Xenopus tropicalis: one gene and its partners. The protein of the gene in region 2 purifies or fractionates together with the protein of the main gene of each other region. This does not show direct contact. Links are inferred from orthologs where the notes say so. Each region holds a gene or a part of one and is shown on either strand. Other genes may lie near its edges. The genes, in order: eef1a1, tubb, arl2 and rictor.

Region 1 (6,026 bases), on a different chromosome or scaffold from region 2:
TAACTCATCATATTTGTGCTTCTGGTTTAGATCGGTTAACTGCCACTAATACACAGTTCAGATGGCCACTGGTGAAGATTCCTGGTACAGCTGGAATTTGAAGAGGTAAACAGCATTTAGCCTGCTCACCTAATCCCAGATGTTTTTATGGTTATATGGAAGCAAATGCCAACTAGACAGGTTTATCTATTGGAAAGCCCTCTTAGGTAAAGGCCGATACCAGATATTTGTCCAGACAAACCTCACCATGCAACTTCCATCAATTCCTTGTGTAATTTGCTGTACAGTGGGAGTATACATGCCATGAAAACCCTACATGCACTTTAGCCCATACAGAAACTCAGCCATACCATAGAAAGAATAAAGCATTGCTAGTAACTACACACTTGTGTGTCTTCCAAATTACCCAAGTCATTATACTGCTATTGCCATACATATTACAACTGGCTTGTGCCTGTGCCTTTTAGAGGCATGACGCTCTCAGCAACCCCATGCTTTCCTGCACTTGCAGCTAGAGACCAAAGTGTTGCAAAATCTCCTAAGACAACATACTACTGCTAGGTGTCTATGAAGATTTTCATTCATCCAGGTCATGGTATATCTAGTATAAATAAATCTAAAGCAACTGGACTTGTTTGGTAAATGATTGCCAAACAAGTCCAGTTGCTTTAGATTTATTTATACTAGATATACTACTGCTAGGTTTAAATCTTGCAACTTGAGGGAATGAAAATTACAGTTGTCTGTGCATATGCTTCTGTTTTGTTTAAAATGTAATTGGCACTGCAATAAAACAGAGGGGCAACTGGATTCACTGTGGTGTCTAATATAGGTACACCCAAGTAAATGCCCAAACTAATTAGTATCCAGTGACCTACCAACCTAGATGCTAATTTGTTTTATTTACAGCTGCAACACCAAGCTCAGCTGAAATCACCCACAGAGTGGAAAACAAGCTTGTTATCTTTTAACTTTTTTTTAATGGTCTCAATTTGGTGACAGATTTTGGTCAAGTTGCTTCCATTTAGAAATTACTGGATTTAAAACACTAATAACTTAAAAACTGCCACAAACAAATGTGTCCACGAGCATTTTTTTCCTTCTGAAGCTTTTGCGATGCATTGTAATCATTAACCAGTCTTTGACTATTAAACTCTGATGGCCAATTGATAGAAAGAGTTCTGAGACCAATCCTCCACCACTGGTTATGACTGAGGTGAGAGATGCTGGAAATATTCATTTGCCTTTCTGTGCTTTCTGAGCAGACTTTGTGACTTTGCCAGCTCCAGCAGCCTTCTTATCGACCGCCTTGATGACTCCTACAGCAACAGTCTGCCTCATGTCACGGACAGCAAAACGACCTTGAAAAAAATAAATGGATAATTAGCTTAAGGGCCTACTGGGTAGCATTTTACAAGACTGCAAAAAGGTTATTTTGAAAAAGACTTACCAAGAGGGGGGTAGTCAGAGAAGCTCTCCACGCACATAGGCTTTCCTGGGATCATGTCAACAATGGCAGCATCACCAGACTTCAGGAACTTGGGATTGTCTTCCAGTTTCTTACCAGAACGGCGATCAATCTTTTCCTTCAGCTCAGCAAACTTGCAAGCAATGTGAGCTGTGTGGCAATCCAACACAGGGGCATATCCAGCACCAATCTGGCCTGGGTGGTTCAGGATGATAACCTATTAAGTCAGACATTTAGAAAACAATCTTAGAGTTATGCAAAGCGATTTAAATGCCCCCATAGCCAGCTATGGAAAGCCATATCACTTCCTTTAGCCATAAGCCATCTTGCATACCTGTGCTGTAAAGGTACCAGCTTCCATTGGTGGGTCATTCTTGCTGTCACCAGCAACGTTGCCACGACGGACGTCCTTCACAGAAACGTTTTTCACGTTAAAGCCAACATTGTCACCGGGCATGGCCTCGCTAAGGGCTTCATGGTGCATTTCAACAGATTTAACTTCAGTTGTTACATTAACAGGGGCAAAAGTAACCACCATGCCTGGCTTAAGGACACCAGTCTCCACACGACCAACTGGTACAGTACCAATACCTGAAAGAAACAGCCATTTTAGTGTGAATACTTTAACATACTAAATCCCAGCACTGCCAAAACAAGGCCTAAACGTACATGTTGGCAATTACTAGTCTTCCTTCTGGAGACTTGTTTAGAGTGTCTAAGCTAAAATTAGATTTATGAGCTCTTTGCTGCCAATATTTTATTCACTAGACATTAAAAAAGCAGTAACGTAATATATCAAAGCTGTTAACTAGGGACATCCATGCCTGGTGAACTTCAAATTTGTTACTGCAGTTGGGGGGGGAGGGATTATTTCAGACAAGCAGTTAACCTGTACAAAAAAAAAAAAAAAAAAAAAAGGCTGCTAAGTTTTTTTAAACAGATGCACGATTTTTAACTTGGTTTCCCCCACAAACCATGTAGGCCAGTAAACCTAAAGCACGAACAACATTCCAGCATACACATAGGAAAAGTGTTACTTACCGCCAATTTTGTAGACATCCTGCAGAGGCAGACGCAGAGGCTTATCAGTTGGGCGACTTGGTGGCAAAATGCAGTCAAGAGCTTCCAGCAGGGTAGTTCCGCTGCCAGATCCCTCTTTACGTGAGATTTTCCACCCCTTAAACCAAGGCATCTAGAAAAAACAAGATTTGTATACATCAAAATACTGTTACACTAACCAGAGAGTATGCCAGGCTGTAGACATTTAAGTGAACTGCCACAGTACTTACATTGGCGCTGGGCTCAAGCATGTTGTCACCGTTCCATCCAGAAATAGGTACAAAGGCAACAGTATCAGGGTTGTAACCAATCTTCTTGATGTATGTGCTGACTTCCTTAACGATTTCCTCATATCTTTTCTGGCTGTATGGGGGTTCAGTTGAATCCATTTTGTTAACACCAACGATCAGTTGCTTTACTCCCAGAGTGTAGGCAAGGAGGGCATGCTCACGAGTTTGTCCGTTCTTTGAGATACCAGCTTCAAATTCACCAACACCAGCAGCAACAATCAGGACAGCACAGTCAGCCTACAAGAGAAAACATACATTTTTACTCATGTGCACTTAACAGCAAGCCTGCCTCACCTACTTTAGATATAAATAGCAAAGCTGCTTGGGACTTAAAACCTACCTGAGAGGTACCAGTGATCATGTTCTTGATGAAGTCTCTGTGTCCTGGAGCATCAATGATAGTAACATAATATTTGCTGGTCTCAAATTTCCACAGGGAGATGTCAATGGTGATACCACGTTCACGCTCGGCCTTCAGTTTGTCCAAGACCCAGGCGTACTTGAAGGAGCCCTTGCCCATCTGTTAGGTGAAAAGTTCAGCAATGACATGATTAAAAACCCCTTACAAGGCTTCTGCCAAGAATGACCTGACACACTGCAATGTTTATACTCCCCCTACTATCACAAACACCCAAGGCAGGTGGCTATTAATACAAACCAAATACAAGTACACATTAGTGCACAGGCAAGACTTGTCTAAACAAACATGTGCAGGACTAAATATTTAGTAAGGGGGGGGGGGGGTGAGACTGCTGCAATACCACAAGAAGTGCGATTGTTAACAAAATTTACCTCAGCAGCTTCCTTCTCGAACTTTTCGATGGTTCTCTTGTCGATACCACCACATTTGTAGATAAGATGTCCAGTTGTTGTGGACTTTCCAGAATCTACGTGTCCAATGACGACGATGTTGATGTGAGTCTTTTCCTTTCCCATTGTGGATTGTTAGATGTTTGGCGGTGGACACTAAAAAACATCAAAAAAAAAAAAAAAGCTAAAAATATAGGTCACATCAAAGCAAGCCATGGCAGGCATTACTCAGCAGTTCCAAGGGCTGGAGACACAAGCAGCCCCACCCACAATTCAAGAACTTTGCACAGATATCTAGTTGGAAAAAAAACCCTGAAATCCCTCATTACATAAAAGGAAGAAGGCAAGAGCGAGGCCTGTACTCCCCCTGGTGTATGAGTCAGGCCCTGCATGCAGCGCTCCCAGCTCTTTTGTCTCCTCACTTGTGACTCAGCCTCCATCTTGTGGAGAAAAAAAAATCCTTCAGCTGAGAGCCGCCGCCATCTTTATGGAACAACCAGATGGGGGAACGCAACGCTAAACAGGACTAATGGTTTAGATACGTTTCATTTCTATAGAAAAGAGCAGAGCCCACACAGAACATTTAACCCAATAAGTAAGCAGCTGCTATCCCGCGTTCAAGCAGGGCCAGCAGTAACCCGTAGCACGCCGGCCATTTAGTGAGTGAAGCCGCCCCCACTGGCTCGGATACACCGGCCACGCCGAGCCTGCCTGGGAGAGAGGGTGATACACGTCAGCACTAGCGCCATTGTGCCAGCCGGGCCCTGACACTGGCAATAGCCCCAGTCCTGCTATAGTTCAGCGCTTACAGGCACCACAAACACTATGTTCGCCTGACCAGTCTAAACTGCACTACGTACAATGAATCCCATGTAGGCGCGCCGCCACCCATCCGCACAGCTCTCTCGCTCCTTCCCCAAACCACGTTCACTTGTCGAGCCTTAAGCATTTACCGTCTGGAATAATACAGCACCGGCAATATTAACCACATCCGCCTAAAGCCAAGTATATATTGAGAGGAGGCGGATGGCTTACATAGGAGAGGATGCAGCGCAGATTGGGACTAGGCCGCAAGCCTTGCTTTGGCACCGTTCTTCATTTTGCGCCCACTTTAAGCACCCATGTTCCCTTCCCGCCAAGATATCTAGTGTAACAATACGGTAACACTAATTGCCAGAAATACGCTAATACACAGCTGAAAGAGACCACGGCCCCAAGCAACTCCGTAACAAATGCACGCGTGGTTCCATAAAAGTTAAATAAACTACGGCAGAGGAAACCTATTTATCTACAATAACAACGGAACAGAACACAGCACACACATCCAATTGCAGGTTTCACTGCAAATCTCAAAATCACGACCCGGCCCTTGAACGCAACCCACTTACCTTAAAACTCGCCGCAGACCCGGTGAGGAAGAGAGCGAATCCGCCGCTAACCACCCTTTATATAGCTGCCTCTACTGGGCGGGGCTTGATCGTGACATCATCGCGCCCAGAATTCCCAAAGTGTGAGAGGCGGGGTCTTGAGTGAAAATTCAGCCTGTAAGCTTCTAGTATACTACAACTCCCAGTAGCACTAGGGCGGCTCCGGGCGCAGCTGTTGAGCGAAACGCGCGAGTTATCACGAAGTTTAGACTGTGGGTTAAAGGAAAGATGGCACTCCCTTTTGCGTCATAGCTTCCTACCAACCCTACTGTTACTAAACTACCATTACCTAAATATACACAGAAGCCGTGTGTTGGCTGTTGACAGTTCAATATCGGGGTTTTAGGCCGAAATGGTGCGCATAATGTGCTGCTTTAGAAGCATTCAGCTACATTCTTACATTGAGCAACGTGTTCCGGTAACCCCGTGACTCATCCGCATCATGGCGGCCATGTGTCCCGCCTGGGGGGAGGGTCTGGGCTCTGCTACCTCACCTACAGTTCGTGTCGCCGTCACTTCAGTGGCCCTATTGTGCGGCATAGCATTTGCTAGAAGAGTTTTCTACCCCAATACAATGGGAAATGGCTGAATGCGTTGGGATATTCCTTCGCCGACCTTGTTTAACATGCGCGGCAGTATGCCAGGTTTATTAACAGCACAGCGGGCTGAAGGACTTGGGCCGCATGGAGCGGAATTCCAGGCATCCAAAGCTACAGGTGTCTGGTAATAAACTTGAACTCACGGTTCCCTCTTCGCTGACCTCCCCTGGGCATCGACAAATGCCGCCGCCTCTCGTATTGCAAAACCCGTCACTTGGGAAAGCAGCGGCCTACATCATGCGGGTGCTTCATGGGGGCTGAAAGGGGTTTTGGTTGGGGGGATGGTGTGGTTAATAAACTCACAAACTCGCTATAACTGTGTTTTTACTGAATGTGGTTACCATGTAGTCTGAATTAATGATGATTGTTACGG
Region 2 (5,530 bases):
TCAGTCTAAGGTACTGCCTGTTGCCTATTCTATTTGAGCCGCAGATCTTAACTCTGCCCCGTCCCTCTGTGAAAAGCTTCCTGCTCCTCAACTGTGTGAAGAGTGACAGAATCAGAGCGGACAATCCCCTTTATCAGGGCAGATGAATGTGAATGTCAGCTGTGTTGATCCGACAAATTTTGTATGATAGTGTAAATGAGCTTGTGTATAGCTATCTGTGTAAGTACATATTATCACATTATTAAACCTTATAGGTATAGATTGGGCCTACAAGATTTGCCTACAACCATTTAAGCCAGCACATTCACATCTTCAGTTCCTAGCCCCACTGAATTCCCCACCGGCCTACTCTATGGCCCTTTTAGTGGGTTTGGCACTTGAAAGTTTCATCCTGCAGAAGGTTGTTGACCGAGGCCATGAAAACAGTACACATTGAACCACCCTCATTGTTTAAATAATATGGTGCTTGATTTACATATAGCTTATTGAGGGGGTGGGGGGGGGGGGGGGAAGGATTGTTGGCTTTAAAAACTACACCTTCACTGGAGTTTCTCTGGTCAGTGTCTGAAAAAGTGTTGGGGGGTGGGTGAAACAGCAGTTCTGTCAGGTCTGCAAAGCTACAACATACCCACTTATAAGATGAAGATTGTCTTGAATTCTATAATGCAAAGTGCTGGGTACCTAGTTTGGTATGATTTTCGGACCGCGTGTGGGTTTAGAATTATCAAGTTAAATTGTTTATAATTCCTATTAAAAGTAATCTGTCTGTAACTGACCTTCCTCTACTTACCCAGAATAACACTGCTATGCTGCATCAGCATGCCTTGATTGTTATGTGCTTTACAGACATCTTAGGAAAGAAAATGAGAGAAGCATGCAATGCGTTGCATGATTTCTACTAAATGTAGTTTGTAGTAAAATGTAACAGCACAGTGAGCAACTTTGAGGGTGATGTAATAAAAGGTAGAATGTTTGAAACATGTCTAGTCAATCAGCAGGTAGCTTTTACTCATCACCCCTTTAAAAATGGATGAAATGGGTTACTGCACATAGGCAAACATTGTGCCTCTTATTAGAAGTATAAATAAAATAAAATAAGGTTACCTTTTTACTTGAAAAAAAATGGCAATAAACAGGTATCTGATACCACTTAAGTTTTTTTTTTATTCATAGCTACTTTTCCAAATAAGTCCATCACACAGAAGACAATGTAAAAAAAAAAGGGTTTTATTTTTTTCCGTCACAGGCTTGTCATCTTTTCAATATGAAAAAGCAACAGTAAAATAAAAATAATGGTATGGGAACAAGAGAAGAAAAAGGGAAGTAATGTAAGAAAATCTGAAGAGTAAAGTTAAGAGAAGAAGAAGAAATAATCCCTATATCACTGTGTAGAGTTCTTTAGCATTCTTCTGCACTTTTTTCTGTTACTTGTTAAGTAAAATGCAGAGCACTTCTCTACATACAACTGCAGGCAATGAACCATGCCAGTTACCCAATGGATAGTGGGCCTATATGATTAATGTAGCTTATAATTAACCAACCAATACTGTTTACAGTAAAGGGAATTAAGTGCATTTGTTAAACATCAGTTTCATTTCATATTTTCTAATTGGAAGTATTAAGGTATTTCAAATACTTGGGATTTACATAAATGTGAGCAAAACCGAATCATATCTATTGCTCTAGTTGACAGAAGTTGCAGTTACGTGTATTTTAACACTTACTAGGTCATTTCCATAGTAACATAAGAAAATGTGAATGTCCACCAAACACTTGAATGTGATCTGTAAAAGCACAGAAAGAAGCAAAATCTGCAAGGGTTTTGTAAAGTCCCAAGGGACTAAATTAGAGGTTTGCTTTGTAACCCAAATGTAGCTGCAGAAACCAGCACCCAGCCACAAATTTGATGATGTTATTAGGCCAAGGAAAGATGGAATTCACAATGGGCTGTTAAAACTCTCTTAAAATCCAAAACCCAAATCCAGAGGCAAATTACTGCATACTGAAACCAGAGACCTACTGTAAAACCTTAGCAAACTGTTTACCCCAATTAAGCCACAACCTACCTTAACTGACAAGCAGAACACAGAAAATGGGAATAGAAGTTTGAGAGACAACAAAAACAAGTAAGGAGAAAAAAGGAAATGGAAAAATATGAATATAAAAACAAATACTACTCTTCGGTACAGATCTTTCTCAGCCTGAGAATGGAGGAGGAAACGTGAAAGGAATTTCAGCAACAGTGAGAAGAGTCTAAGCTTCTTCTTCAGCCTCTTCATTGAAATCTTCCTCTTCTTCAGCAGTAGCATCTTGATACTGCTGGTACTCAGAGACCAGATCATTCATGTTGCTCTCCGCTTCTGTGAACTCCATCTCATCCATCCCTTCTCCTGTGTACCAATGCAAGAAGGCCTTGCGACGGAACATGGCTGTAAACTGCTCTGAGATGCGTTTGAACAGCTCCTGAATGGCAGTGCTGTTACCAATGAAGGTGACTGCCATCTTAAGGCCACGGGGTGGTATGTCGCATACAGCTGTCTTGACATTGTTGGGAATCCATTCAACGAAGTAGCTGCTGTTCTTGTTCTGGACATTAAGCATCTGCTCATCAACTTCTTTCATGGACATACGTCCACGGAATACAGCTGCCACTGTAAGGTACCTGCCGTGGCGTGGGTCACAGGCTGCCATCATGTTTTTGGCATCAAACACCTGCTGTGTGAGCTCAGGCACTGTCAGTGCACGGTACTGCTGACTGCCTCTGCTGGTTAGGGGCGCAAACCCAGGCATGAAAAAGTGTAGACGTGGGAAGGGCACCATGTTGACAGCCAATTTGCGAAGATCAGCATTTAACTGGCCAGGGAAACGGAGGCAGGTAGTGACTCCACTCATTGTAGCACTAACAAGATGATTAAGGTCTCCATATGTTGGTGTAGTAAGCTTGAGGGTACGGAAGCAGATGTCATAGAGTGCTTCATTATCAATACAGTAGGTTTCATCTGTGTTTTCAACTAGCTGATGAACAGAAAGAGTTGCATTGTATGGTTCTACCACTGTATCAGACACCTTTGGAGATGGGACAACACTAAAGGTATTCATGATGCGGTCAGGGTATTCTTCTCGGATCTTACTAATCAAGAGAGTGCCCATACCAGACCCTGTTCCACCACCCAGAGAGTGAGTGAGCTGGAAGCCCTGTAGGCAGTCACAGCTCTCTGCCTCTTTTCTCACAACATCCAGTACAGAGTCTACCAATTCAGCACCTTCTGTGTAATGGCCTTTTGCCCAGTTGTTGCCAGCACCACTTTGACCTGAGAAAAAAAAATAAATAAATTAATAAAAACGGACAAGGGTGAGTGAATTTGTACTGAAAAACAAAATGTAGCAAAGGAACACAAGCAAGTAGATGATCTAAGCTGTACAGTTTAGTGATGCAATTTTTTTTCCCTTCTAACAGGTGACTAAATTCCCTCTAATAACTACTCTAATGATTCTATTAAAATAGACCTGTGAAGTTTCCCTCTGGTGGACTAGATTCAGCTCTATATAAGCCTTTAATAAATATGTCCCACGGAATGATGAGTGTGGGTACATTTAACATGTTAACCTCTTAAAACAAACAACTTTTAATTTATTTGCAATGTGATATGTAGCAAAGCTATCCAACAGAACAGAAGCAGGACACTTCAGTTAAACAAGGATAGGGACTATATTTGGTATAAATCCACCTTCAAACCAAACACATAATAAAAACAAATAAAAACCTTGAAAAACCATGAAAAGAAAAAACGGGCAAAAAAAAAAAATATAAAAATATGCCTTACCAAAGACAAAGTTGTCAGGCCTGAATATCTGTCCAAAGGGTCCTGAGCGCACAGAGTCCATAGTTCCTGGTTCCAGATCAACAAGGATGGCTCGAGGGACATATTTACCACCTAAGAAGAAAATCTGTGTGTCAGTGGAAGTAACAAGGAGCTGGCACAAAAGGAGACTCAAGAAAAAAAATTCCTTTTGTTTATTAAAATCAGTTTCTCCAACTAAGCCTGTTGAGAGTGGTACTTTTTTGTTGCTTTGAACACATTTTACCTACACCCACAGACATAAACATGCATTTATACAAACGCTTCTCACCTGTGGCCTCATTGTAATAGACGCTGATTCTGTCAAGCTGCAGATCACTGTCTCCATGATAGGTGCCAGTGGGGTCAATACCATGTTCGTCACTGATCACCTCCCAAAACTGAGAATAAAATTTACAAATACACTTTGTTAATATACGGAAAGCTGCCAACCAAAGGTTTGATGCAAATCGTGTTACATTAGTTTGGATAATTAAAAAGGCCAAAGGCAGCTGGATGTTGCTGCTTTACAGAACTAAAATGAAAAGGGAAATGGTAACCACATCCCCTTCAGATCTTACACAATACAATTTTTTTCTCCGATTCCCCCTTATCTTTTTTTCCTCCTTCCTACATTTCTGCATCTGTTTTGCAAAAACAACACACTCTGTGAATCCATGTGATGTCTATGCCTCCATCCAATATGGAGTTCTATTTTTATATATATATATATATATATATATATATATATATATATATATATATATATATATATATATATATATATATATAATAGGACTACTTTATCTCTACCTATTTCAGGAATCTATTTCCCTGCCTTTTAAAAACCACAAACTATTACGCATTCATTTTCTCTCTCTGCCTTTTCATTTGTAATTCATACTCCTCCCTGCATTACTGTTCTGCTAAGTATTTAACTCCCTGCAGTCCAATCCTTTTCTACCATTTCCAACTCAATGGGTTTGCTCTTCCCTCCCCCACACTGACAGGAAGTCAGAGAACAAGACAGCCACACAAGCCTAGTGTAGGCGAGACAGGAATGTGACACAAAGGATATTCATTATAAAGCATGACAGGCAGTGACATACTATTTAGAAATATGTCATGTGCACCCGTATGCACAAAAATACTGGATATTTGTTTAGTAGATATACAGAATATGTAATGCTGACAAATGGGCAGGTCTCCATAAAACTAATAGAAATATAAATGTTCTGCAGATTCAAGTGGAGACACATATGTATATTAAACATACTATAATTATCATTCCCAGTAACAAGCCAGGATAATGATATATCTCAGTGGGTCTATTTTGCACAGGGTAAAGCATATCGGGTCATTTGGCAAGGAAGCGCTAAAGCCTAGGGTGTGGCATTGCAGCTGCGCCTGAATGCCAGGAATAGACTGGGACACCCTTACAATATGGATCACACATCCGTTATATCAGCCATATTGGCATCCTGTTAGAAATCTGCTATATCCTTCACTCCAAGAGATTCTAAATTCTTCCTTTAACTAGCAATAAATGTTTCACACAGTACATATCTCCTGTTGTCAATACTATATAATTTCAGATAACCATGAAGTAAAGCATCTATATTTACCTTGCTATACCTTATTTTTGTTTAAATGTGCATTTATGCATCTCTTCCCTTAAAACGTCATACACA
Region 3 (5,783 bases), on a different chromosome or scaffold from region 2:
CTGCAAAGAAATGATGTTGTTGGATGGAGCACGCCAGGATTGCTTTTCAGTAAAAATTATATTCTTTATTTGTTGTCTCCATTAAAATCATAACAAAACTACACCATCAGCCTGACGCGTTTCGTGGCTTACTGCCACTTCCTCAGAAGCTATAATGTGCAAATCACACCCTCTAGTGCCCTAAATAGCCAGGTAAAGACCCACCCCCATAAGTGTGCTTTAACCCCTAGGGTGCCACATTTGTAACACATATTTGATATATACAGTTCAACGTGGAAAACACGTAACAGATATGATATATACAATTCAACGTGGAAAACATATAAAAATATATAAAAATATTAGGGCAATAAAATCATTATGAAGACTCTGTATACATAGTAACTATATAACCCCTTACTTTTGAAATCTAAACTGAATATGTATACAAGAGGTATATTATCACTTCACAGGTGTGTTTCGCTAATTATGTCATGTAATCGGTAATGTATCCAAACATAAATATTTAATCTAGGTAGTAAATCAGAACAATGGACATACCCTTAATATATATAAAATCACAACAATTCGCAATGTCATCCGTGTAACTAAAGACAACAAGGACATACATTCAAAGAAGAGATAAGAGATTCAACAGTAACAGGAAAGCTCCCACTCTCTATTTAAGCCCCCATAACATTCAGTGGTTTTCAAATAATATATCCAATAGACTTCCCTTTCTGAGAGCCTCTTATCCAGTTCCCCCTTTCTGACATTCAGTCTCGGTTTATCAATGATTTGAAAGGTAATCGTACACCTCTTACTATGTGCTTCAATGGCATGCTTGGCTACTGCAGACCTTAGATCACCCCTATCTACTGCTGACATATGTTCAAGAAAGCGTATGCCTGCCCCCCGGATAGTCTTGCCCACATATTGGGCTCCACACTCACATGTGGCTAGATATACCACCCCTTTGGTCTGACAATTAAAGTATTGGGGAATCTGGTAGACACACCCTGTATTGGAGCTCCTGAAGGATTTGGATACCCCAATTAGAGTACAAGCTTTACATCTCCTTCTACCGCATTTATATGTACCCTTATAGCGCATCCATGTCGCCCCCTGTTTATAAGTCTCAGTGGAGTATAGACTTTTAGAAATCCATGAGGCTAAATTTCTACCCCTTTTAAAAACAAATCGGGGTGTCTCATCCAAGACCTTACACAGATCTGCATCTTGTAAAAGGACCGCCCAGTGTTTGCGGACACTTCTTTGTATTTCTGCAACTCCCTTGCCATAAGTAAGGCAAAACCTAGTATTGGACTTATGATTATATTTGGCCTTACCCCTTGGGCATGCCTTATCCTGAGATGCACTATTGAGTAAATCGGACCTACTGGTGGCAACTGCCCTCTCATAGGCTATTTTGATGGTTTCCGTGTCATAACCTCTCTGTACAAATCTGTCCCACAGTTGCATGGCCTGTTTGTGAAAGGAATCCCAAGAGGAACATATGCGTCTAAGATGCAGAAACTGTCCCACTGGGATTCCTCGCACACAATTCCGGGGGTGCCCGCTGTCTGCATGTAAGAGTGTATTGCGTGTTATAGGTTTACGGTATAAATCTGTTGCTATTCGGTTGTTTTGTACAAAAAATACTATATCCAGGAAGGGGATCACATCCCTGTTTGTTTCGTAAGTAAACTTAATACCTTCAATGGCCAGATTACAATATTCAACAAAACGCTGCAAGGAAAACTCATCCCCATCCCATACCCCAATGCAGTCATCTAATAATAGCTGCTGACTTGACCCCACCAAGAGTCTGCAGGTTATCGGCCAGTGTATGTGGTCAAACCAACAGCCTGGCTGGATATTCATCATAAATGTACCACGATGCAAGATATGACCATTCAACAATACAAACATTGGCTCCTGATAAAAATGCAGAGGCTCAGGGTACATTTCTTACTGAGTATTGTGCCGTTTGTGCCACCACCCATACCCATGAACCCTTGAAGCTGTCTAGGACTGGTGCCCATGCATTGAACGGTTAACAATTCTACCATCACCCCATCTTCCCAGGCCCGGTGCCTTGGGGTTATCCTTGATTCTGCCCTGTCCTTCACCCCTCATATCCAATCACTTATCAAATCATGTCACTTTCACCTAAGAAATATCTCCAAAATCCGATCATTTATCACCCAAGATGCTGCCAAAATTCTTATTCACCCTCTTATAATATCTCGCCTGGACTACTGTAACTCCCTATTAATTGGCCTTCCCCTCCAAAGACTGTCCCCTCTCCAGTCCATAATGAATACTGCTGCCAGGCTCATACACCTCTCCAACCGCTCCTCCTCTGCCGTGCCGCTTTGCCAATCCCTGCACTGGCTTCCCCTACCATCCAGGATAAAATTCAAGCTATTGACCCTCACATTTAAAGCAGTTCATAACTCTGCCCCACCCTACATCTCTGAACTCATCTCTAGGTACCATCCAACCCGCTTGTTACGCTCCTCTACTGACCTGCTCCTCAACTCCTCTCTCATTCCCTCCTCACACGCTCGCATTCAAGACTTTGCAAGGGCTGCCCCCCTTCTCTGGAATTCGCTCCCACAAACTGTCAGACTTTCTACCAATCTCTCTGCCTTCAAGAAATCTCTAAAAACACATTTATTTAGAGAGGCTTACCCTAATCTAGTTTAGCAATACCCTGTGCCCCACCTCTCACAACTCTGGTCATGCCCATTCCCACACCTTGTGTCTCAACCCTTTCTCCTTGTAGATTGTAAGCTCTTTTGGGCAGGGCCCTCTTCACCTCTTGTATCGGTTATTGATTGCTTTATATGTTACTCTGTATGTCCAATGTATGAAACCCACTTATTGTACAGCGCTGCGGAATATGTTGGCGCTTTATAAATAAATGTTAATGTAATGTAATGTAATGAACTAAAACTGCCATATCTACCAGAGCAGAACAGCTGCAAGGGATTTGAGACAAGCAGCAAAGATGGAAGAGCGCAGCTCATTGAAAAAGTGCATTAGGCTGGTGTGCTTTTTCTCTTTTTTTTTTACAGAAAATTAGAGAGAGACTAACTGGGTTAAAATATATATATGGGGGGGGGGGGGGGGGGGGGGTTAACAAATTGGCATCCTCCAGTGAATTTCAATTTTCTTTTTAGGTTTAAAATGGTGCCCAAAATGTACACTTTTGTGTACAGAAAAACGTGGGTTTCTACGATTAAATATTAATGACACGTTGTTATAGTACATTATAGTACATTTTGGCACTCACCTCAATATGAGAATGGCCAGACACAAGTGCATAAAGGAATGCCCAGCGCAGTTATATTCTGGAATATACTGTGGCCCCATACAAAGTGCTCAGCAGGTCAGGGGCACCTAAACCACACCCTAGTTATATTAGTGCAACTAAACACACCATGCTTTATATAACTAATGTTCTGCCCCCACCTACCAAACTGACCAGTCACCCCGCCATTTAAGACGCTACATAAGACAAGCATTACACGGTGTAACATGAAATATTGTCCGATCCCTACTTTGCTCTTACACAGCCATAAAGACAGTAGCCACATGTAGCAATGTATGTGCTTTCTCAAGTCGGGCCCTAACATAATAGCTCAATAGTTCCCGCCGCGATACACCAAGGTGTGGATACAGCATGAGTAGCCGAACCTCCCGCTCCTTCTGCTTCATTTTCTTAAGAATAGTTAGTAAGCCCATGATGCTCAGACGCTTTCTCCTTGCCCAGGTCTCCTGTCAGAACTGCCGACCAATCAGATACGACGTTCTTCAACTTCCGCCCCTGCTATTGGTATTTGCGTAGGTCTGCGTAGGCCAATGAACGCCATCTAACCGTGTCGCTATGGAAACAAAGCATTCATTTTTTTTTTTGTCAACAACTTTAATTATACCGACATGACAAAACGTGTCATATGTATATGCTAATACTATGTGAGGTAATAAATATATATAACAATTATTCGTAATCCACATTCTCTAATTTAAAAGATACCACTTTTTTACAATAAAAAAATAAATGAATTGTAATGAAAAGATAAAGATATTTGGCATATAATTTCGGGTATCTGCGAGTTCTCATTGGTGGATGGTTGTCAAGGTGACGTTGCGTCGCATGCGTGCGGCGGGTCAAGGTGGCCATCTTTTGTGTGTCTAAGTCTACCCAAAGGTGCCGGTGAGTAAAAGCAGCAAACTGAGAAAGCAGATGGGCGTATAGAGGGACAAAACAGATAGGGCAGGCAATGAGACGGATAATATACATTTATAAAGGAGGCGATTAGCTTGCCGTGGTGGTAAATATAAACATGATTTAATATAAATAGGTGATGTGAAGACGGAGACAGAGCTGAAATCATTCATAAGAACAAGAACCATAAAATGGAACCCTGATGACAGGAATGCAGATAGATTGTTAAAATAATGGGAAACGACTGATGCTGAAATACCGAAAGTGGAATTATATTTAACAGCAGAAAATTGGGTTTAGGGGCCAAAAATGAACAAAGGCTGAAATCTGATAAGGAATGTGTAGTGAAAGGAGGCTGAACCGAGTGTAACAGTGAGAGGGGTGGGAGCAATGGGGAAATGTGGGACCCCAGTCTGAGGGAGCTGGATTCATAGAAAAAAGGAATGCCCAGAACTTCCACCCTTTAAGATGTTTTTCAGGTGCTGGTTGGATATCCCTGATACCTTCACATAGTGTTTGCCACCTGCTATCAACCACACAGGCTTGTGTTGCTATAGCTCTCTGGTTCTGTACAAAAAACAAGAAAAAAACTAGACAAATATATTAATGTGCCTCAGCACTTTCCCAGTGTCCCTAAAATGTCAGTGAGTGATGAACATTAAATTCAGCAATGTTTCTGCAATAATAAACATCTGTGATCACAGTTTATAAAATGGTAATGTCATGGGTTAATTCCTACGTTAGTACAGTTATACTGGATTTAATAATTACTGACATTACAGTGTCTTACTGACTATTCTTCAGAAATAAGGGAGACAAAAGGAGCAACGTAATCCTGAGATCACAGTGTGAAAGTAACAAATGCAAAATTATATTCAAATAATTGTTAAATGTGCAGACAGCCCATAACTAGCAAATATACTGACTACAAGATATTTGCCTATCTATATATTTACTATATATTTATTATTTTTATTGAATCAAGGCAGCTGAGAAATCCATCTTTTCATTGCTGTTCATGGATGTAATACTGTAATACCATAGTCAGACCCAGACTGGCAAAGGCCAGAGGGGCTGCTGTAAGATGCCATAGACAGTCACTATTTATTGGGCTGGTGGGGGGCTGTTTGGGTCTCTGTGTACTTGAAATGCCAGAGGGGCTGCTGTAAGATGCCATAGACAGTCACTATTTAGTGGGAAGTCTATTACCAACCTTTCATTCCTACAAGGCAGATCTTACAGAAGATCATGTAGTGCAGTGTTGTCATAGTGTAACCAGTGTGCTATTGGTGTTAAATTCTCACCTATGTATGCAGTTGGATTAGTTGCACAAATCTGAGCCTACAATATAAGGAGCAGATAATCCATAATATATAGAGGCAGGCAGTGAATGAGACCCCATGAGTAGACAAAGAAAAATCAAACTACTTTGCTGTCTTCGTATGTGTTGCCTACAAATGGCTTGATACATTTTAAGTTTTGTATAACACTTGTTTATAGGTGTATCAAGTGCCGACCTCTTTATATTACAGATAATTAGTAAAATGGTTAAAAAAAACACAAAAAT
Region 4 (5,305 bases), on a different chromosome or scaffold from region 2:
TTTGCCTTCCTCTGGATCATTTAGCAGTTAGGCAGGTTTCACTTAGACATAATAGACAATGTGGCGGACGTGTGTCTTTTTTCAACCTATGTTACTTTGCAGACAATGCCCCCCCAACCCCCCGCCATGTAAGAGAAAATAAAAATAACTCCCCTGCACCTCTCTACTTTGCCTTCATATTTCTGTGTATCATTAGTTAAGACAGTGCTGTTCTGGGAATAAACTGCCAAGCAATCAGGCAGGGGTGGTGAGAAAGCAGCACTTACTCTGGGTGCTATTATTACACTCACTACTCCGAGTGGGAAATAGTTTATTAAGAACAAAATCATTTTGATTTGTGACTGTTCTGTGAGTCAGAACTGTTTAGGATAATTGACATGGCACTGGCTGAACCAAGGGGGACTGCAGTTCTATGGTTGTATCTGTGCACTTCAGCCTAACTGCACTGAAATCAGAACATGTGAATAAATAGCAAAAACAACTTGAATTCCTTACTGGGAAGGGCAGGTTCACTCTCGCTATTATGCCGAGAACTGGTCGACTCAGAGTTCAAGCTAAGCGTGCTTGGTATAGAAGAAAGCTCATTGCACAGCTGCTCCATATCATCAGGGACCACTGGCCAAAGATGCCTGCGACTGTGCCTTACGGCATCCCAGTTATGCTGCTTTAGGGTATCGCAACCTTGCTTTGTTCTGCTGAGCAGGCCAAGGACATACGCGCAGGTCCTAGAATACACAAAGAGTTTTGTTTTTTTCAGAAAAATTTAAATACAAATATCTAGCAAAATGTTCAGAAATCTTCCTACACATTTTCACTGCAGCAACTCCCAACATCTTAATCAACTCTTTTGATTACTTAGGGCAAAGATCCAAAGGTCTACAGTAATGCAGACATTTGAGGATTACAATAAGGCTCCTTAGAGCTACAGGTTTATAACCCAATAGAAGAACAAACACATGATCCGGAAGGGTCAGGTTCACCCTGGATCAGGGTCCACCACCTCAAGGTACACTGTTGTGATCACTGCATTACACTGGATCATTATGTCATATAAATGCGCCCTTTTCTTTAGTTACCATATAATTATTCTATTGAATATATTAATACGTTAAGGAACACAGAAGGGAGAACTAATAAAGGTGTGTGGGCAATGCCACAATGCTGTGATCTACTGGAAAACTGCAAACTAACATATCGGCACTCCTGCTGCAAAGATTTGACCTGTTCTGATCAGCCAATAAGACCGCACTCAACTTAAAATGAAGTATAAGAAAATAAAGCCACGCTACTTGCATCCTCAACAGAGGCAATAGGAAGGGGTTCTAAACCATGCAACCACACTCACCCTCTTATTGAGAGAACGTCACAATGCTGAGCCAGAGATACAATATCAGGGATCACATTCTCCTCTTGAAGTAAATTAAGTCCCCAGTTCGAAGACCCAATGTTACCCTATAAAACAGAAAAATGGAAGATTTGTGGTGGCAGCTGGAGGGTTTGTTTAAACGCAACCAGTCACTATGTGCTTGTGTGGTATGATATTAATAACATTGCATAGTTGTACCTCATGTAAGGAGTTAGAACCAGTAATGTCCCATTGGGTAATGTTATAAACAGACATAACTCACCAGTGCCCAAAGGGCTGCTTTCAGCTGCTTGATTCCATCCCATTTGTCTAATGATGGCGATCGGACAGTGTAGCTCAGATCTGGGACAACATTCTTCAAATTAAAAAAAAAATTAAAAAATGAAACCAATTAAGTTACCAACATAATAAAAAAGAATTCAGCATAATCAGCAATCAGCCCTTCATTCCTCACCCACCTACCTCTTCTTCACATAAGCTAGTACAGAGAGAACTAGTGTATATACATTGCTCTCACCTGAACTTCCAGCAGATGACAACCAGTCTTATGGTACACCAGCTGCCCATACAAATGCACAGGTAAATAAACATGGGGCCGCTGCTGTCTGTGTAGATAAAAATGCAAGAGGAACATAGTCAAAAAACATATTTCTTACAGCTGTAACATTTGGGTAAAGGTCGGTGCAGCTCAGGTACCTTTGATTGCTACGCCGAACATAGTTGTCACCATCAACTGGCTTGCGATAAGTGGTGAGAGCTTCGTTTAACTGCTCCTCAATCAGATCTACATATTTTAAATTGTATTCCTAAACAAAAGATAACATGTAAAAGAAGAATTTTTGATTGGAGGGTCAAGTAAGTCCTTTTTGCTATGTTTACTATAAAATCCCCATAAAGTCCCTTTCTCAGACCAAACAATTGCATTACAATGTAGGGGATATGAAAAGCCAGAACGTGGACCGCATCAGTGAGCAAAACACCAGCCCTCGATCAGACAGAAAAATCAACATCTGGGCGATGTTGGTCGGGGAGGCCTGGCGGAGGGCCCCATACACGTGCTGATAAGCTGCTGAATCGGTCTGAAGGACATGAACCAGCAGCTTAAACCCGCCTGTGGCCCCCTTTACGTGATAATTAGAGCAATGCTAATCACCAGCATTCTACCAGTTCATAAATGATAAACACAGAAAACTGCCCAGAGTCGGCTTTGTCCAAATACCTTTTGCCATTTTTCCAGCTGCTTGGTCACATAACCTCTCTCATTTAAATAAGAGAAGCCTTTTGGAATTGACATGAATCTGCAAAAATAATAATAATAAAAAAAAAAAACATTTAGTAAACCACAAGGTGAATGTTCCTGTTGAATTGGTACTGCAAGGCTGTAAGCAAATCACCTAAGGAGAAGGAGAAGCCCCTTGTCCCCGAGATGAGAGAGTGCCGGTTTCATTTGGATCAGTGCATGGAGATTGGCCTTAAAGAAAGAAATTATGTTTTACAGACCAAAATATTCTGTTTGCATTTTTATATTGAGCATATTGTTACTATTTAGATTGTTCTTATACAACATGCATTTTCTTAGGAATAATTGGTTTTAATTAGGCAAGCAAGCAAATCACCTTGTCTTCACAGGCCTCATCCAAGATGTCCACAGCTTCAGAAGATATATTTTTGCTTTTATCATGCAGCTGGGTCACCAGTAGCTCAATGCCCCAGTTACTGAAAAACTCAACGTTGGCTCTCAGAAGGACTCGCAAGTGCTTGGTGGCATACAGCCGGCAGCTCTGTACAGAAAGACAGATATTTTAATGTTTAATGTTCATGCAGTAAAAATGATGCGGTTGGAGTGCGGGAAATGTCCCCAACTTGTATCCATGGTAGGAAAAGTTAGGGTCTACATCTCCTTTAAGGAAACGGAGAGCAGAATAGAAGAAAATGGGGATAAGGGGGGAAAAAAGAAGCAGAAAATGTAAGATGGGGAAAGGAATCAAAGTGAGGGAAGGTGGGTGATCACAGGAAGGGTGACAAAAAGGGTTAATATGGAAGAACAAGAGTGAGAATAAAAAAGCATGGAAAAACAAAGGGGAATGTGAGTAGAGTGGAGCACATTTCACTTTACACCTGTGATATACAAGGAGGCATTTATGGCTTCCAAGCCAGCGAGCAAGGGGCCCTTTCTTTGCCTTTTCTCGGTGCAGAAAACTGCTGCAGGTCTCAATCGAGACGGACCACTATCCCCATAAATACAAAGCTGCCTGTATTTGGAAGGAGGGTTCCCACAGCAGAATATACAGTATATTTCTCCCTTCTTATCATGGTATCACAGCGGTGCCGGTGCTCATCCTCACATTCCCTTCATGACACCACAAGGACACTCGTGCTCAGCTACACAGCACATATGCATGAGGCATATGGTAGATATAAATACCCATAAACAGCCCCTCCAAAAATGAGACTTGTGATGGCCACAAAGGGATTGATCATACTCACATCAGTAGAAGCAGTCAGGGTTTTGGAAAGAATGACTCTGGCCAGCCCATCTCGGCTATAATCCAGGCAGGAGATGGCTAACTTTAACAAGTGATCTTGGTTTTTCAGGGAGCAAAGATTCAAAAGACTGCAAGAGAGCACAGAACACTGACTGAACCTTCCCTTCTCATATTAATGACCTTGCATGGATGGAGATATATAGAAAGGAATTTTACTTCTAAGCTATTTCCCAGTGTCTATGAAGATTCTCATTCATCTAGGTAATGATATACAATATCTAGTAGAATTCAGTCTAAAACAACTGGACTTTTCAGAGTTTATCTTAAAACATTTCACCACTCATCCCCTTTGCCTATCTATTTTCAACACTGCTGGTTCTGACTTCTGAAACAATGTTGCAGAAGGCAGCTGTGAAGAAGATTGCAAAGCTAACCTTTGCTATATCGGTTTCAAATAAACAGGGGCAGATAAGACATGGTTTTATATGAGCAAATGGCTTAATAACAAATGAAAACCTTTTATGAGCGTACATTGAAAGATGTGTAGAATGACTTTTGCTTTAAAAGGCAAAAGGTTATTTTTGGGTTTGTATCTCCTTTCACAGGGATATGACACATAGTAACATAACACATCAGAAGCTAAGCTTTCTTTCCCTCTCTCGGGGGGGGGGGGGTTGTGGCCAATGTGTTAAAAATGATATTTAGGGACCAGCGGGCTAACACTTTTTTTTGTGTAAAACTGAACAAATAAGTGTGGCAGCAACACAACTATTAGCTTTAATCAGTTAAAAAGGGCAATAAATAACAAGTATGTGCCATCACATTATGCATCTAGACAAGAAGACATTGTACATAATCATTTCTAACACAGACATGGCCCAAAAAACGGTCTATAAAGGATAAGTAAACCTTAAAAAATGTAATGTAAAATTGCTAATAGTGCAAAACTTATACTGAAATATATAAACTGCTTAATAGCTTTGGAAACAAATTATTAACTGCGAAAGTGCTTAGAAGGTCATTCTGAGCAATTTTACATTATATATCAAAGTCAAGCCACATAAACATTAGCTACATAAACACATTATATGTTCCGTTTAAGAGCAGTAAACTGACAAAACATAATTTTTTGACAAGCCCACTGCATGCTGGGATGAGTACCTCACCATCTGTCCCTCCTGTGGAAGATTCATACATGTTGGATAACCCTTTATAAACCATTACTTTTTTTTAATGAAACCACTGGTTTGCATTAGAATCTTAATTTAAAGGCTGCTAAACGATAATTATAAACGTAGTATTTAGATAAATGATACATATCACTTTCTCGTCAGTACTCTGGCATTTATTATTAGCACTGGACATTTCTAGCTAATAAAATCCTCACCTGCACCACAAGAATCAATTTTGTACATTGCTATTTTAGATATTCCTATCCCATGAGAGAAACAAG

What was found.
Region 1: the proteins of tubb (region 2) and eef1a1 fractionate together in Homo sapiens (co-fractionation; 3 studies listed by BioGRID). This does not show direct contact. The link is inferred for Xenopus tropicalis from reciprocal best matches to the Homo sapiens genes TUBB and EEF1A1.
Region 3: the proteins of tubb (region 2) and arl2 purify together in Homo sapiens (co-immunoprecipitation; 3 studies listed by BioGRID and IntAct, counting the BioPlex papers as one, with this or other methods). This does not show direct contact. The link is inferred for Xenopus tropicalis from reciprocal best matches to the Homo sapiens genes TUBB and ARL2.
Region 4: the proteins of tubb (region 2) and rictor purify together in Homo sapiens (affinity purification with mass spectrometry; 3 studies listed by BioGRID and IntAct, with this or other methods). This does not show direct contact. The link is inferred for Xenopus tropicalis from reciprocal best matches to the Homo sapiens genes TUBB and RICTOR.

Annotation. Positions count from the first base shown.
Region 1 is NC_030681.2:91,800,336-91,806,361, reverse strand, and holds eef1a1 (elongation factor 1-alpha 1), read right to left. Parts: upstream 3,784-6,026; 5' UTR 3,754-3,783; coding exon 3,610-3,753; intron 3,338-3,609; coding exon 3,158-3,337; intron 3,055-3,157; coding exon 2,758-3,054; intron 2,661-2,757; coding exon 2,510-2,660; intron 2,060-2,509; coding exon 1,803-2,059; intron 1,686-1,802; coding exon 1,451-1,685; intron 1,362-1,450; coding exon 1,237-1,361; 3' UTR 958-1,236; downstream 1-957. UniProt on the Homo sapiens protein: Translation elongation factor that catalyzes the GTP-dependent binding of aminoacyl-tRNA (aa-tRNA) to the A-site of ribosomes during the elongation phase of protein synthesis.
Region 2 is NC_030684.2:75,225,455-75,230,984, forward strand, and holds the end of tubb (tubulin beta chain), read right to left. Parts: intron 4,241-5,530; coding exon 4,132-4,240; intron 3,936-4,131; coding exon 3,825-3,935; intron 3,312-3,824; coding exon 2,254-3,311; 3' UTR 1,212-2,253; downstream 1-1,211. UniProt on the Homo sapiens protein: Tubulin is the major constituent of microtubules, a cylinder consisting of laterally associated linear protofilaments composed of alpha- and beta-tubulin heterodimers.
Region 3 is NC_030680.2:32,598,461-32,604,243, forward strand, and holds the start of arl2 (ADP-ribosylation factor-like protein 2), read right to left. Parts: upstream 3,779-5,783; 5' UTR 3,733-3,778; coding exon 3,668-3,732; intron 1-3,667. UniProt on the Homo sapiens protein: Small GTP-binding protein which cycles between an inactive GDP-bound and an active GTP-bound form, and the rate of cycling is regulated by guanine nucleotide exchange factors (GEF) and GTPase-activating proteins (GAP).
Region 4 is NC_030677.2:197,059,145-197,064,449, reverse strand, and holds part of rictor (rapamycin-insensitive companion of mTOR), read right to left. Parts: intron 3,981-5,305; coding exon 3,854-3,980; intron 3,148-3,853; coding exon 2,983-3,147; intron 2,838-2,982; coding exon 2,761-2,837; intron 2,665-2,760; coding exon 2,586-2,664; intron 2,173-2,585; coding exon 2,063-2,172; intron 1,972-2,062; coding exon 1,884-1,971; intron 1,722-1,883; coding exon 1,629-1,721; intron 1,453-1,628; coding exon 1,346-1,452; intron 726-1,345; coding exon 496-725; intron 1-495. UniProt on the Homo sapiens protein: Component of the mechanistic target of rapamycin complex 2 (mTORC2), which transduces signals from growth factors to pathways involved in proliferation, cytoskeletal organization, lipogenesis and anabolic output.